4 linked regions of the Xenopus tropicalis genome follow. The protein of the gene in region 3 purifies or fractionates together with the protein of the main gene of each other region. This does not show direct contact. Links are inferred from orthologs where the notes say so. Each region holds a gene or a part of one and is shown on either strand. Other genes may lie near its edges.

The links.
Region 1: the proteins of ift88 (region 3) and ift81 fractionate together in Homo sapiens (co-fractionation; 3 studies listed by BioGRID and IntAct, with this or other methods). This does not show direct contact. The link is inferred for Xenopus tropicalis from reciprocal best matches to the Homo sapiens genes IFT88 and IFT81.
Region 2: the proteins of ift88 (region 3) and hspb11 purify together in Homo sapiens (affinity purification with mass spectrometry; 3 studies listed by BioGRID and IntAct, with this or other methods). This does not show direct contact. The link is inferred for Xenopus tropicalis from reciprocal best matches to the Homo sapiens genes IFT88 and IFT25.
Region 4: the proteins of ift88 (region 3) and ift57 purify together in Homo sapiens (affinity purification with mass spectrometry; 3 studies listed by BioGRID and IntAct, counting the BioPlex papers as one, with this or other methods). This does not show direct contact. The link is inferred for Xenopus tropicalis from reciprocal best matches to the Homo sapiens genes IFT88 and IFT57.

What each region holds. Positions count from the first base shown.
Region 1 is NC_030677.2:162,587,983-162,591,546, forward strand, and holds part of ift81 (intraflagellar transport protein 81 homolog), read left to right. Parts: coding exon 1-31; intron 32-391; coding exon 392-476; intron 477-1,004; coding exon 1,005-1,168; intron 1,169-2,739; coding exon 2,740-2,832; intron 2,833-3,564. UniProt on the Homo sapiens protein: Component of the intraflagellar transport (IFT) complex B: together with IFT74, forms a tubulin-binding module that specifically mediates transport of tubulin within the cilium. Binds tubulin via its CH (calponin-homology)-like region.
Region 2 is NC_030680.2:97,386,819-97,391,058, reverse strand, and holds the start of hspb11 (intraflagellar transport protein 25 homolog), read left to right. Parts: upstream 1-1,434; 5' UTR 1,435-1,535; coding exon 1,536-1,636; intron 1,637-2,868; coding exon 2,869-2,975; intron 2,976-3,606; coding exon 3,607-3,675; intron 3,676-4,240. Other genes in the region: lrrc42 (leucine-rich repeat-containing protein 42), read right to left, coding at 1-259. UniProt on the Homo sapiens protein: Component of the IFT complex B required for sonic hedgehog/SHH signaling.
Region 3 is NC_030678.2:158,960,544-158,964,897, forward strand, and holds the start of ift88 (intraflagellar transport protein 88 homolog), read left to right. Parts: upstream 1-1,498; 5' UTR 1,499-1,663; intron 1,664-1,704; exon of another isoform or gene 1,705-1,803; intron 1,804-4,354. UniProt on the Homo sapiens protein: Positively regulates primary cilium biogenesis. Also involved in autophagy since it is required for trafficking of ATG16L and the expansion of the autophagic compartment.
Region 4 is NC_030678.2:103,607,879-103,611,942, reverse strand, and holds the start of ift57 (intraflagellar transport protein 57 homolog), read left to right. Parts: upstream 1-1,215; 5' UTR 1,216-1,293; coding exon of another isoform or gene 1,294-1,365; coding exon 1,366-1,448; intron 1,449-1,587; coding exon 1,588-1,750; intron 1,751-1,833; coding exon 1,834-1,952; intron 1,953-3,136; coding exon 3,137-3,227; intron 3,228-4,064. UniProt on the Homo sapiens protein: Required for the formation of cilia. Plays an indirect role in sonic hedgehog signaling, cilia being required for all activity of the hedgehog pathway.

The sequences.
Region 1 (3,564 bases), on a different chromosome or scaffold from region 3:
GGCACAGCAGAAACAAGAACAGAAGAATCAGGTATATACCACCCTGACCCACTTATATAGTTTTAGACTGGTTGCTTTAACTTGCATGCTTTAACAGATTTGGTAATAAAGATTACAAACGTAAGGTAAGTATTTGAACATATGGACAGAAACTTTTGTGTACATATTGTGTACAGACCATACTGTATACAAACCATAATTTTACATTTTAGATTTTTAACAGGATAAAAATAATAATAATGTAGCCTAATAATAAGCTTCCCTAAGTTTCTAATTACCACATAAATTTCAGTGCAGTTCTCATGGGATACATCATGAGATAATTTTTTTAATGTTTTTCTATAATTGTGAATGCTATTCTGCTTTCCATACATTTGGCTTTGTTTTGAAGCTGTTTCATGCAGAACAGAGGCTGCAAAGAGCACAACTTCAGCTGAAGAATATGCGCAATGCTGCTGCAGATGCAAAACCTGAAGGTTGGTAAAAGCACATTTTTTTTTTTAAACTAATGTGTATACATTTGGTCAGTATCCACTGTTCTACTTCCTGCTGCCTGCCCAGGCTGTGCAGGGAAGCTCGTGGCATTCAGCACAATGCACTGTAGGATAGGAACCAATCAGCTTACCTAATAGCAAACCAAAGCCTTTCTTTGCTTGTGTGAATGCAGGGCTGTGATTTGCTATCACCTTACTACTGTGTTTCTGACAGGGAACGTTAGAACAAGCCCCCCCCCCCTCACTGTAAACACAGAGACCATATCAAATCCATAGGGCGCACCAATAAATGGGCCATTTTAATAATGGCCCATTATTAATAATTATTAATATAAAATAATAATTATTTTTAGCCCAGAGTAAAATATGCACCATTTATTTTTAATTATTGCCTACATGATTCAGGGGAGGTTCACTTATGCTATATGTCTCCTTTATAAATGTTGCCTTCTTAATTGTTTTTATAGATTGTTTGATAAAAATAATATTTGGGTTTTATATTCTGTCAAGGTCTTATGAAAAGACTGGAAGAGGAAATGAAATTTCATTCATATATGGTTTCTGAAAAGCTTCCGAAAGAACTAGAGAGCAAACGGCAGACTTTGCATTTCCAGCAGAAAGTTGTCTCAGAGCCAGCAATGAGTCAAGCTGATCTAACTGAGCTTGAAGAAAAGGTATATGTAATTTTCCTGTTATGTACTGAGAGGTAGTAGTTTGTTTTAGGAGACACCTTGGACAAGCAGATATTTCTTTATTAGGTTGTTCCAGATGTAAAGAGGGGATGTACAAATATATACAACGATACATAGATTCTTGACTGGTTTGTCTGCCTATTGGCAATGAAAAGTGGAGCCATAACTGCATTGTACATTTAGTTGTGCAAATAAATTTCTCTCCCTCACCCCCTTACGCTTACTCTTCTTCTTATCTGTTTTCTTACTTCTCTTGCAATTTACCTTTTATTTTAATCATGTTATCCCTGGAAATTCCCTTTCCACCTTTCAAATGACTTTTCTTCTCACCTTCTTGTTTTTTGTCTCACACATTTGTCTTTTCTTCTCACATCTTGTTTTTCTTTATCTTCTCTGCCCTTCTGTATTCCCTATCTGATCATTTCTCCTTTTTTTTCTCCAGACCTTTTCTGTTTCTCTAACTATTTTTGTCCCCATAGTAAGCACTGATTTACTTTTTAAAATTTTCCTTTTCTACACCTCTCAATCTTACCCCTTCCCTATGTGGTTTAAAAGTACAATAACACCAAACAATTAAAGTCTTTTAAAGCATACAGTTGTCCTGCACTGGTAAAGCTGGTGTGTTTTCTTCAGAAGTGCTACTGTAATTGATATCAGTATACGCATATACGCTCAGTAGAATTCAATGAATTCAAATTCCTGTGTAGAAATAAACCCATTGTATTCTACAGAACTTATCTGCTGTTTTGCCATTTAGCCCTATTTCAACTTGAATGGCTCCCTTTGGGGCTACACAGCAGTTTTTTATATAAACTAGTGCTTCTGAAGCAAACACACAATTTTTACAAGTACAGGGCAACAAAACATACTACAGGTTTGGGATCCGTTATTCAGAAAGTTACAAATTACGGAAAGGTCATCTACCATAGACTCCATTATAAGCAAATAATCCTAATTTTTAAAATTGATTTCCCTTTTCTCTGTAATAATAAAACAGTACCTTGTACTTGATCCCAGTTAAAATATAATTAATCCCTACTGGGGACAAAACAAGCCTATTGGGTTTATTCAATATTTAAATGATTTTTAGCAGACTTAAGTTGTGAAGATCCAAATAACGGAAAGATCCCTTATCCGGAAAACCCCAGGTCCCGAGCATTCTGTATAACAGGTCCCATACCTGTATTTGAATTACTTGGTTTTGAATGTAACTACAGTTCTAATTAAAATGTCTTGGTAACACATTTTACCCTTTAAGTGCAATATTCCTGCTTTTTTCCTGTGGCAGAAACCTACACTGTACTAGAGCTGTTTTTTCCTAGCAGTGTGCTGGGTGTTCCCCCTGGACAATGTTCTGACTATATTTAAAGTGCAATAACATATTATACATACAAATATATTGTTTCCCTGTAAAGCAATAATTTTTCCTAGGTAGTAGGCCTTGCATTTTTAAATACAAAATATCTGAAAGTCTAGCTTGTACTGAAAAGAACTTTCTGAGCATGTACCGAATGATAAAAAGAAATATTGTATGATTTCTTTTCATTTTTAAGATCCATGAAGTAAATTTGCAGATTAATCAGCTGATTGAAAATCGAATGAGAAATGATCCAATGGATGACAAACTGTCTCTTTTTCGGCAACAGGTAATGAAAAGATTTTTATTAAAGGAACAGTAACACCAAAAAATGAAAGAGCTTTAAAGTAATAAAAATATAATGCACTGTTGCCCTGCACTGGTAAAACTGGTGTGTTTGCTACAGTAACACTACTATAATTTATATAATAAGCTGCTGTGTAGCCACGGGGGCAGCCATTCAAGCTGGAAAAAAGGAGAAAAGGCACAGGTTACATAGCAGATAACAGATAAGCTCTGTAGAATACAATAGTGTTTTATCTGTTATCTGCTATGTGCCTGTGCCTTTTCTTCTTTGAATGGCTGCCTCCATGGCTACATAGCAGCTTATTTATATAAATTATAGTAGACGTTCTGAAGTAAACACACAACTTTTACCAGTGCAGGGCAGCAGCACATTATATTTTAGTTACTTTTATACACTTTCATTTTTTGGTGTTACTGTTCCTTTAACATTTACCAACTTGTGAAGCATTTATTTTATTTACTGTATTGAATACAAGGTAATACACCTCTAGGCTCAGCAAACTAAATGAACAGACTGTCATTTTAAAAGGTTTATGCAGGGCTGGATTTCAATTGAGGGTGTCTAAACTGGGATTCAGAATAGGCTGTGGCATTTCCAGTACACAGAGGCCCAAACAGCCCACCAATAGCCCAATAAATAGTAACTGTCTATGGCATCTTACAGCAGCCCCAGTGGCATTTGCCTGGATCCACAGATTGCCAGTACAGGCCTCCT
Region 2 (4,240 bases), on a different chromosome or scaffold from region 3:
GTGTCAGGGTAAAGAGTGACTTGGCAGAGTAGCGTAAGCTTCCCTCCTTAGTATATGTAAAAATAAAAGGTTTCTGCCTGTGTCTTGAGGTATCTTCTTGCTTCCCACATAGTTCCACTGAGAATCCTTTAGAGAAAAGGCGGCATGGGCGAGTCCTGAGCTCAGAGACATGTGACCCAACAACTGACAGCTTTCCTCTCTCTCGCACATAAACCGGTCCTGTCTCCTCGTTCCTCTCTGGCTCAAGGCACTGAAACATCTTCTTACAGGAAAAGAAAAAAAGTTTTAAGCAAATGTAATATTCCATTCTAACTTAGCAATTGTTTATTGGTGTAATAGGGTAATGCCCCTTCAGTTTATTAGAAGTGATCTCACCTTACCTTTCATCCGCAAAAACTAAGTAGTTTTGTTTCACTGCTGTTTATTAAGGACACTGCATCTTGTCTGAATGACAGAGGTTTTCACTAGAAAGTATTTAGGTCAAAGCTATTTATTTCCAATTAAAATTGTGACTCATGCAGACTCTTTATATATTTATATGCTTACAAAATCTAGCTTGTCCTGAAACAAGATAAAAATAAGACTAAATTGAAACACTGAGCTGTAAATCTCACCCCATACATCTAGATGAAATAAATCACAATGAAAAAGGGGCTATGGAAAACAATATATATAATAATATATATGACCATCTTTAATAAGATATATATTGCCAATGTAAAAGAAAATGTAGAGTCCATATGTGCAGATAGAGCAAGGGAACACATATTAGCAATGGGTGCCTTTATAAACAAAGTAAATTAAGAATGCAAAGGTGATTATAATTCAAAAAGGAAAAAGCAGAGCTATAGCCTAACACTGTTGTTTTCTAACAACTTCTTTGGACCCTACAGTCCTGCACTGGCTAAAACTAGGCTAGTTCATAAGAATGTCAATATAAAACAGTGATAATTACAAGGTAACGGTGCATTATATTAAAGTTCTTTTTTGTGTAAGATTACCATCAAAGATGATATTTACTGAATACACATGCTGTAAGTTGGGTGTCGTGCATGACCGCACACAAACCCTTGATTCAAAATGAATGTTAATGGTTCTGTAATTCAAGGCAGCGCTGTACAGTAACTTCCTATTCCAATCGGTTTACAGTCTAAATCAAATGCTAATTCTCCTAGGAAATGAAGGAGCTTCCCATCTCAAATCCACAAGCATAAAGAATAAAAAAAAAAACTTCCGAGTGTGAGTTTTGATCACCACACGCTCATGGTGACACCATAACGGACAATATTTACACATAAACTATAAAACCAGAGACTCACCTCTCTGCAGAGACCAGTAAACTGCACCCGGAACGTCTGCTCTACGGAACCTTCCCCCCCGGCCGCGCACACTATATACGCTAACTCGGGAACACAGCTCTGGCACCGGAAGACGTTCCAAATTGCTAGGCAACGGCGTAACAACAGGGGGGAAAGTAAGTGGAGCGAATGTGAAGGGGCTGCTTGTTAGTTCCACGCCAAAGCCACGGCCTGAGCATGACACGGGCAGGGGACTTGTGCCTGAGTTGTGCCGGAGCCCGGGTCACACTGGCTACCAGCAGCGATGACAGACACCCGGCAGACAACATTATAGACGGGTGGGTATTGATGTGCTCAGGCTTTCTCCATTAGTAGTACAGCCATGCCGGCTGCTGCGGGGATATTATTCTCACAATGTAATGTTCCCAGTAGTTTTTGTTGGCTACCTGTGGCAAAATGTTCCTGTTTGCAATTTTTCTAAAAGCTGTAGTGTGTGTTATAGTGCTTGAGCTTGGGCAAGTACTGATAAATAACTAATAGCATACAAATAAATAGAGGACCTAGACATTAAAGAAATAGTTCAGTGTAAAAATGAAACTGGGTAAAATGGATGGCCTGCGCAAAATACAAAATTTTTGCAATATAATTAGGCAAAAATGTAATCTATAAAGGCTGGAGTGGGCAGATGTCTAACATAATAGCCAGAACTTTACTTTTTGCTTTCAGCTCTCTAACCTCTTATGGTGGCCATACACACTAAGATCTGCTCGCTTGGCGAGGTTGCCAAGCAAGTGGATGTTCTCTTGATATCCCCAACTATGGGTGGGCGATATCTGGCTAATTCGGTCGTTTGGCCAACATAGGCATCTGCAGGATCCAACTGATTTTTAAACCTGCCCGATCAATATCTGCCCCATTTCAGGCCAGATGTTGGTCGGGCAGACCCGTCTTTAGTGCCCATACATGGGCCGATAAGCTGGCGAATTGGTCTTAAAGGACCGATATCGGCAGCTAGAATTGGCCCGTGTATGGCAGCCTTTAGTTAGTCAGTGACTTTACGGGGGGGGGGGGGGGGCTAGGGGGCTAGGGACATGGGACATAACTGTTCAGTTAGTTTGTGAGCACGCAGGTCAGATTCAGTAGCAAACTGAACAGTTATGTCCCATATGCCACCCCCCTCAAGCCACTGATTAGTTACTTTGACCGGCCCTGTCAGCACTGTAATTGTAAAATATTTGAAGGAGCTTGCGTCACTCAAAACATTGATGCACAAGTGGTTTCTATAAATGTGTTATTTTTTCCCCACCTACTTCTCACGATGTCACTTCCTGTTTATTAGTGGTCAGGTTGTGGGTAAGGCAGTTGCAGATCAGGTAAAGGGCCAAAGCACGTAAAAATGCAGGGCAGAGGTCTGGGTTGGGTTTCAAAAATTGCGCAGGAGTCTATCAGGGCCTACTTCAGATCCTAGTATGTACCTGGTTGCATTGGTATGTTGGGCTCAACCAGATAATACTGTTCAGACTTTGTTTTTCTCTCATACAGTTACATAATTATGTTATGTTTTGTTTAGAAACCCAGACACATTCTGGACAACGACTGGTATGTATCCTCAAGAATTCATAATCAGTTTGAATGGCATTCAGAAAATTAACAAGATCATCCTCCAGAGCTCATTAGGTAAAATGGAGAAATCATAAATTTAGTTTTTGCTTCTTCATCTTTGGCAGTTAACTTTGAATATTATTGTGTAACTGATCGTACCATGTATTTCAACTTTACTTCATGTCATAATATTATAATGCAATAAAAGTATAGGTTGTTCCCTAGAAGCCCATAAATTTATATTTTTCATTGTGCCACTCTCAGGCTTTGAATTTTAACTGGTTGCTAAGGCTTACCTGTCTAGGAAATCAGGCATCAGTTTAGATGTTAGGATGGAAGATGAAAGTAGTGGGATAACAATGCAAAAATGGTGAAATATAAAGTATGGCTGCTGGATCAGTGACCCCATAAAACACAGAGATTTTTTTTGTTGCAGGGCAGAAAGAAGTAGGATAGCGAATAATTAAAAACCAGAATAAATAAGAAAGTAGACCGTTTGAAAAGTTGCTTAAAATAGGTCTATCGACAACATACTAAAATTGTTTTAAAGGTAAACCTCCTCTGTAACTCTTTTTCCCACATGGTTGAACTCTTCATTTATCTTTATACTTACTGGTGTTTTTGCTCTCTGCAGTTAACTAAATGCATTTATGACTCACATTTCATAATTTTATTTTATTATTCCTTTGGCCTTTATGGTTTTCAGTACGATCTGTAAGAATTGAATCAAGCACATCCAAAGAACCTGTAAACTTTGAGCTCCGTCTAGAAAGAGGTAAGCAATTAAACATGCACCATATTTAAATTTGATAAACATTCTGTATTGTGTAACATATGCAACTTTAATGAACTATAGAAGACACTTGGAAGATAAGCAGTAGGATTCATGATACCCTTAAAAGAGTGGGGTACTACATGTTAAGACTTTTTTTTGACAAAACAAACTTTTTTAGATATGTGGCATTTTATATGTTTACATTTGTAAATGCAGTGTTTTCCTGAAAATGATTGATAATAAACGTACTTAAGCATAGTGTAATGCTGGCAAAAGAAGCCTTTTGCCCACCAGCAGTCACAGATCTTCAGCTGGCTTCATCTGTAGTTTCAGAAGTTTCCTATTTCTAGTCAAATATTTTCTTCTGAACAATTCTTGGAGAAAATGATAATGAATTAGGGATCATTTTAGATAACAAACAACCATCTGCAAAGTGCAAAAAAAAAAGGCCCGGATGGGTGTGTCTTGCACACAGCCTTTTGGTCTTTGCGAATTGCAGCAGGTCACTGTGTTCTGTTTTGGAGTGCTGTATTGGTGAGGTGAGCTTGTTGGTGCTATATTGGAG
Region 3 (4,354 bases):
TTGTTGAGTTGCAGACAACCAAATATGCAACAAAGAAGGCCACATCAGTTTAGGAACACTAGTTTTTTTTTTAAGAATCACTTTAAAGTTTATAAGGACAGGAAAATATTAATCTAAGTGTGGGCTGTATTGCTAAAGTAGGTGTGACTATTCACATAGGTTTATAAACAAACCAGAAAAAACACAGGGAAAATGTCCACTGACCTGCAATGAACTCATTTTGACAGATTAACAAAGCAGTGAAGTGAAAAGAACTGGCTAGGATACAACAGAGGTGTTACACTAACACTGTTATGTATTATGGAAAAAAAAACGACAAAGTTAAAAAAATAAATTCCTTTACTTAGTATTGCTCTGGCCATTCCAGGTTCTGTAACCTTGTCCAGTTATACTGCTATAAAGCAACACAAACATACAAAAAGTAAACATTCGCCTATAACTAGTGTTCCCACCTGTTTTGGAAAAAAATACTGACCTTCCTATATTTTTGAATAATTTTTCATTATTAATAACATTGCCATTAAACATAATTTTTACTAGCCAGGCCGGTAAAATACCAGCCAGGTGGCAACCAGAGGCCCCCCCTTTAGATTAGAAGAACGGAGTTTCCATTTGAAGCAGCGTAGGTGGTTTTTCATGGTGAGGGCAGTGAGGTTGGGGAATGCCCTTCCTAGTGATGTGGTAATGGCAGATTCTGTTAATGTCTATAAGAGGGGCCTGGATGAGTTCTTGAACAAGCATAGTATCCAAGGCTATTGTTATACTAATATCTACAGTTAGTACTAGTGGTTGTATATACTGTATAGTTTATGGATATTATAGATTGGTAAGTATAGGTTGTGGGAGCTGGGTTTACTTGGAAGGGTTGAACTTGATGGACTCTATACTCTCTATACTATCAAGGGTTGAACTTGATGGACTCTTTAGTCCCCCCCCCCCCAGGCCCATGCCTCTTTTGCCTACCCCTATTTCCTGACCTGCCTCCCCACCTCTGGATGGAAGGCATGGAACACTGGCTGGGTGGTGCGTTATCTTAGGTACACCTAGAAGCCCATCTTGAAGGTCTGTTAGAATGAAATTTAGGAGTCTTCCTTTATTATCTTCCCTCTCTATTAATAACATTGGCATCAAACATAATTTGCACCAGTCAGACCAGTAAAATACTGCCCATATATCAACCCTAGACACAAGTCACCACTTACGCTATCACTGTCTAGGTCCAGATTTTACCACTGGACCATAACCTTCTTCCTCCGTCCTCAATAAAGCCCCCTTACAGGTCAGTGATTTAATATGATAGGTTTAATAAGGTCTGATAAAAGTACAAATGGGGCCTTAAATTACTTTCTAAAAGAATTTCAATATGAATTAAAAATCATTGTTGCGCACTTTCTGAGGTAACCCCTGCACTTTTCCCTACAACTTCACGGTGACGCGCAGACTTTAGTCGGTACCCGTACGTGCGCGCCCCCGGCGGCTAAACGGTTGCCTAGCAACGACGAGACGCTTCCCGCAGAACCCGTCACGAATTCCGAGCCAATCGCTGGCTTGTATTAGATACTGAGGGGCATGATGGGAATTTTCTCCATGGAGCTGCATAAGGCGTCAACAGACTGAAAGTGCTCATAGTGTAAGCGCCGTGAAGAACCATATAAGTAAACGGGTAAGGAGCTTACTACTGCCTGCAGTTTGATATAAGCACGGGTCTTCTAATATAATAATAATAATAATAATAAATTGTCTGGTTCGATATCGCTTTACAAAAAGTAAGGATCGGCCGTGTGAGGGGAATGCAGATAATTGGTGAGTTTGTTGTAGAGGAGAGCTCCAGTCTCTGTTAGCAGGCTGGGAGGGGATGCTGGGAAGGGGATGCTGGGAAGGGGATGCTGGGAAGGGAATGCTGGGAGGGGATGCTGGGAAGGGAATGCTGGGAAGGGAATGCTGGGAAGGGAATGCTGGGAAGGGGATGTTGGGAAGGGGATGTTGGGAAGGGAATGCTGGGAGGGGATGCTGGGAAGGGGATGCTGGGAAGGGAATGCTGGGAGGGGATGCTGGGAAGGGAATGCTGGGAAGGGAATGCTGGGAAGGGGATGCTGGGAAGGGGATGCTGGGAAGGGGATGCTGGGAAGGGAATGCTGGGAAGGGAATGCTGGGAAGGGGATGCTGGGAAGGGGATGCTGGGAAGGGGATGCTGGGAAGGGGATGCTGGGAAGGGGATGCTGGGAAGGGAATGCTGGAAGGGAATGCTGGGAAGGGAATGCTGGGAAGGGGATGCTGGGAAGGGAATGCTGGAAGGGAATGCTGGGAAGGGGATGCTGGGAAGGGAATGCTGGAAGGGGATGCTGGGAAGGGGATGCTGGGAAGGGGATGCTGGAAGGGAATGCTGGGAAGGGGATGCTGGAAGGGAATGCTGGGAAGGGAATGCTGGGAAGGGGATGCTGGGAAGGGGATGCTGGAAGGGGATGCTGGGAAGGGGATGCTGGAAGGGAATGCTGGGAAGGGAATGCTGGAAGGGAATGCTGGGAAGGGAATGCTGGGAAGGGGATGCTGGAAAGGGGATGCTGGAAGGGAATGCTGGGAAGGGGATGCTGGGAGTTGTATGTGGAGGGACACAGTTGGGCCTCACTAAGCTGAATGCCAGGCACTAGTACCTCTGTAATGTAAGCTCCCAGTAATAACAATAATAACATAGGTGCAGCCCAGATGTTCACTGAAATGTGCCAAAATACATAGTAGATTTGGAGATAATATAATATAAAACAGACAAAAGTTTAATCTTTTGCCCAAAAGAAACCTACCAATTGTCTAGTTGTTCCAGAGCTGAAATATCCCCATCAGTGCCATATCTGCTTTCCCTTAGAAAATTATTACTGATCCTAGAGGAACAATCTGAGCAGTCCCTGTCTGGGCAACTTGTACTAATCATTTACAGAGAGCTATGCATATATGTTCATATGTGGCTTTAAATCGGTAATAATAGCAACACTTGTAAGAAAGCCATTCCTACATTGTGAAAGTTGGAATAAATTGGGGAGTGGTTGTCATTTTTTACTGTTATTGAAATACATAATGGTGATATTAAAGTTGAACCAAGGTAAAAATATCTGCTGTGATTTTAATCCCCAACTTTCTACCCCAGGCCGGTACAACCAGCACTGTTACTATGTAGTAACATAGTAAGTTAGGTTGAAAAAAAGACATACGTCCTTCAAGTTTAACCACAATGCCTATATATAATCTGCCTAATTGCTAGTTGATCCAGAGGAAAGAATAAAACCCCACCTGAAGCCTCTCTAATTTGCTGCAGTGGGGAAAAAATTCCTTCCTGACTCCAAGATGGCAATCGGACCAGTCCCTGGATCAACTTGTACTAAGAGCTATCTCCCATACCCCTGTATTCCCTCACTTGTACTGAGAGCTATCTCCCATACCCCTGTATTCCCTCACTTGTACTGAGAGCTATCTCCCATAACCCTGTATTCCCTCACTTGTACTGAGAGCTATCTCCCCTACCCCTGTATTCCCTCACTTGTACTGAGAGCTATCTCCCCTACCCCTGTATTCCCTCACTTGTACTAAGAGCTATCTCCCATACCCCTGTATTCCCTCACTTGTACTGAGAGCTATCTCCCCTACCCCTGTATTCCCTCACTTGTACTGAGAGCTATCTCCCCTACCCCTGTATTCCCTCACTTGTACTGAGAGCTATCTCCCCTACCCCTGTATTCCCTCACTTGTACTGAGAGCTATCCCCCCTACCCCTGTATTCCCTCACTTGTACTGAGAGCTATCTCCCCTACCCCTGTATTCCCTCACTTGTACTGAGAGCTATCTCCCATACCCCTGTATTCCCTCACTTGTACTGAGAGCTATCTCCCCTACCTCTGTATTCCCTCACTTGTACTGAGAGCTATCTCCCCTACCCCTGTATTCCCTCACTTGTACTGAGAGCTATCTCCCATACCCCTGTATTCCCTCACTTGTACTGAGAGCTATCTCCCATAACCCTGTATTCCCTCACTTGTACTGAGAGCTATCTCCCATACCCCTGTATTCCCTCACTTGTACTGAGAGCTATCTCCCCTACCCCTGTATTCCCTCACTTGTACTGAGAGCTATCTCCCCTACCCCTGTATTCCCTCACTTGTACTGAGAGCTATCTCCCCTACCTCTGTATTCCCTCACTTGTACTGAGAGCTATCTCCCCTACCCCTGTATTCCCTCACTTGTACTGAGAGCTATCTCCCATACCCCTGTATTCCCTCACTTGTACTGAGAGCTATCTCCCATAACCCTGTATTCCCTCACTTGTACTGAGAGCTATCTCCCATACCCCTGTATTCCCTCACTTGTA
Region 4 (4,064 bases), about 55 Mb from region 3:
AATGCTAAATAGAAAACTGCCATTTTAAGAATTAAAGGCCACCCCTGGGATCATTGGATTCACAGTGCACACAAACAAGCCAAGACACACATACTGCTAGGCCCCATCAGCCAATGAATGGACAGTTCTGCCTTTTACTCCCACACTTCTTCCTGTTACAGTTAGAGCTGCATTATTCCCGGTCATGTGATCTCTGAGGGAGCCCACAGCCCTTTACAAAAATGGTGGATCAAGGGAAAGATGTAAAAGGGCAATATTTACTGATATATATATATATATATATATATATATATATATATATAATATTCCAGTTTGGTGAGATTCTTTAATAGGTCACTTGACATAATATAAACTGTCTGGATAAGTATTCATTCTTTGGGTATAGTTTTCTTTAAAGTAAGTTACCAACAACCACCTTTAATATGGAATGCATATACAAATACTCAAATATAATACACAACATGCAAAGCAGACTTGCATAAAACATTTTCAGGGTATCCCTTGCTAAAGGTGGATGTTGGTAAGCAGGAACATAGCTTTTATTATTACAATTATTTTTATTAATTATAATTCCATATAGGCCCTCATATATTCATTCTTCATTTTGACATAAAAACAGATGCCTCATTGCAAAGGAAAATAATCATAGCAACCAGCAGTTTAAATATAAAACTGGAGAACTGTAGAGCAAAATATAGCAAAACCCACAAAAAGTAAGACCAGCAGGCACTGAATTATAAATCGAACTTTCTTTTAATTGTTCCGATCACTGGCAGGGATGTAAATATTATAACAGATCAATGCACCAGAGCCCCCCCTCCCCCTTTAGATTAGAGGAACGGAGCTTCCACTTGAAGCAGCGTAGGTGGTGGAGGTCGTGGAATGTCATTCCTAGTGATGTTGTAATGGCAGATTCTGTTAATGCCTTTAAAAGGGGCCTGGATGGGTTCTTGCACAAGCATAGTAGTATTGATGTTGGTATGTATGGTTTGTGTATGTGAGTGTATAGATAGGTCAGTATAGGTTTGTGGGTGCTGGGTTCGATTGGATGGGTAGAATTTGATGGACTCTGGTCTTATTTTCAACTCAACTATGTAACTGTGTAAATTTAAATATATTCCAAAATAATGAAACAAGGAATAACTGGGAAAAACATGAGTTACAGCTCAGCACAGAAAATGTTTGATTTAATGTTAATTTTATGCTTTTTATTTTAGATAATCTCTTCTATATTAAATTCTCTTAAGTGCGCTTTAATTTGAAATCAAACACCCCGCTGGCAAACCTTTAACAATGTCAGAGGACAGTAGAAGAGTGGAGGATGATGATCGCGGTCCTGGTGCTGCATATCAAGCTTTTCTAATGATGGAGGATTTATTGGACAAGTTAAAGCTACTCAGTTATGAAGATGAGGTTCTAAGAAAGCAAAACATGAAACCACTTTCCAGGTAAGAAAGAAATATTGATATACAGGTATAGGATCCATTATCCGTAATCCCATTATCCAGAAAGGTTTGCTGAAGAAGACCACTGCAGCTCTACAAACTTAATTCAACAGTCTAAAATCTGTTTGTTTTATATTAACAGGCACTACTTTGCTTTACCTACAAACCCTGGGGAGCAGTTCTATATGTTTTGCACACTTGCTGCTTGGCTTATAAGTAAAGCTGGACATCATTTTGATCAGCCACAAGAGTATGATGACCCAAATGCCACCATCTCCAATATTCTATCAGAGTTAAGATCATTTGTAAGTTTTCAGTTTTAATTTTCATCTTTTGTGCTTTTTTTGGAGTCTTTAATCTGATAATTTTTTTTTGGCTTTTTTTGCAGGGATATTCTGTAGATTTTCCACCTTCTAGGCTAAAGGCAGGGTATGGAGAACAAGTGTGCTATGTGCTTGATTGTTTTGCAGAGGAAGTCTTAAAACATATTCACTTCAGCTGGAAGAGGTTGGTTATGTTTTCTATTGGATAGTATTGTTTGTAGATTGTACATTAGATTGGACCTTTATAGATTCAGTATGTGTGTGTAACCTGTACAGCTACTGTACACTCTCCAGGCATTCCTTTTGTCTCTGATAGTGGCCTTGCATGTTGGCTCAGCAGCAACTACTGTTGTATTTATATGTGCATGTTTATTTTTAACAGCTATGTTATGTTCTATAAGAGAGGTTATCTTGGTGAATGACATTTGGCCACTGTATATTACCTAGCCAATTGCATTCTTAAAATCCGCTATGCCAAGAATGGCTGGGGCAGATTTATTATTGTTTGAGCCATTCAGCTTGAGGAATCTTTAAAGGAAACCCTGCGTAAGTTTAGGAACTCACAGGGCTTTCGGGGGCAAAAAGGCCTCATTAGTTGAGGTATTTTTCACCTAAAAGCTGCCAAACTTTTTCTTATTTAAGAAAGCCCGCTGGTAGAAAAATACCTCAATGAAAGTTTTTTTTTTTTCCCCGAAACCCTGCATGAGTTTAAAAAACTAATATTGTCATCATGAGCTCTTGACACTGTTTCTGGAGCACATACTTTCTTTCTCTCCCCACTTAAGAAGCCCATGAACAACTGAAAAAGTTTCTAGAATGTCACTGCTACATCCTAATTATAGGTTTTTAAAAATCTTACCTTTCATTGGTTAAATAACCATACCCCAGGAAGATTTCAGATGCAGGGGCATTTAAATAGGTTTTTATATAATCCACAGAGAAAAGAGAATATAATATTACACATGCTTTTTGGTGGAAGCACTCCATGACTCCGCAAAATGTTAACAAGTAGGGGCCCTAATTCATATGTGCTTTGTAAACTGATGATAAATGTTGCATGGTCTGAGTGCCAGAGCATTAAAATGACAATATAATTATAATAGTTATAGTTTGTTTATTCACAGTAATAGCCTACTACCTGATTTTGTTTCAGAAATTATTTTAAAGAATAGTAAATAAAGTAAGTTAACATTAGAAAGATTATTATATGCTGGTGCCTGTTAAGAGGGGGTGTTAGTGATGATAAATAAAGTAAATGATGCAGGGGAAAGCAGAAAGTAGTATATTTGTAGGGTTCTCAGTGTAAGATTTTTATAAGTATGTTTATTGTATCTAATCTGTCCGTTGCCATGTTCTGTATCATTATAGGCCTACATACCCAACAGAAGAGCAAGACGAAGAAAATGTAATTGAGGACGATGCTGAGTTGACTTTAAACAAAATTGAAGATGAAATTGCTGTGAGTATCTGCACGGCTTTTGTATTTTAATGCAATTTGTATCCCTAAAGGCACAGTCAGTTAGAATTGGTAAAAAATAATAGGGATAGAAATATGAAACAATCCTAGTTTTAGTTTAAGCTAGGTTTAAATATCTTGTAGCTCTCTGTTCCATAAGAATCCACTGGTTCTGCCCACTGCAAGATTGCTGGCATTGCAAAATGTGACCATGCATGGGAATGCCCAGATTGCACCTTTCTGACTGTTTGACCCAGGCCACATCATGTGGAATTTCAACTGCTAACTACTGTGGGTCAGAACATGACCCTATACATGAGCAGGTAATGGTCATTTTTCAGAAATGAGGGAGTCAGTTTGATAACATATTGGGTCGGATTCACTAAAGGTGGTTAACACGTAACGCATAGTTTTGTGCATTAAAAAGTGTTCGATAATTAAGTACCGAATCATCAAAGTCTTTTTTCATTCGTTACTACTCATATCGCATGTGCAAAAAGCCTGATTATGGCAAAGCGTTATTTCCATCGCATTGAGGTAATTATTGAATAGAAATAATACTAACGTGTAATTCACAAACATATTTGAAGCATTAAAAGCATAAAATGTGGCGATAATTACTGTGAAACTTAACGCCACCCACGAGTAGGCGTTACTAAACAAAATTGCAGCTGGTGATTGTCTGTGGTGACAAAATGGACTTGTCATGCATCCTCCAGTTTTCAGGGAAATGGTAATTTTCAGAACAGTAGTTTTCAGAAAGTAACGGTTACGTGCGCAATAGCGTGCGCTAATATCGCGTGCTACGAAATAACGCATAAATATATTGCATGGTTTAAA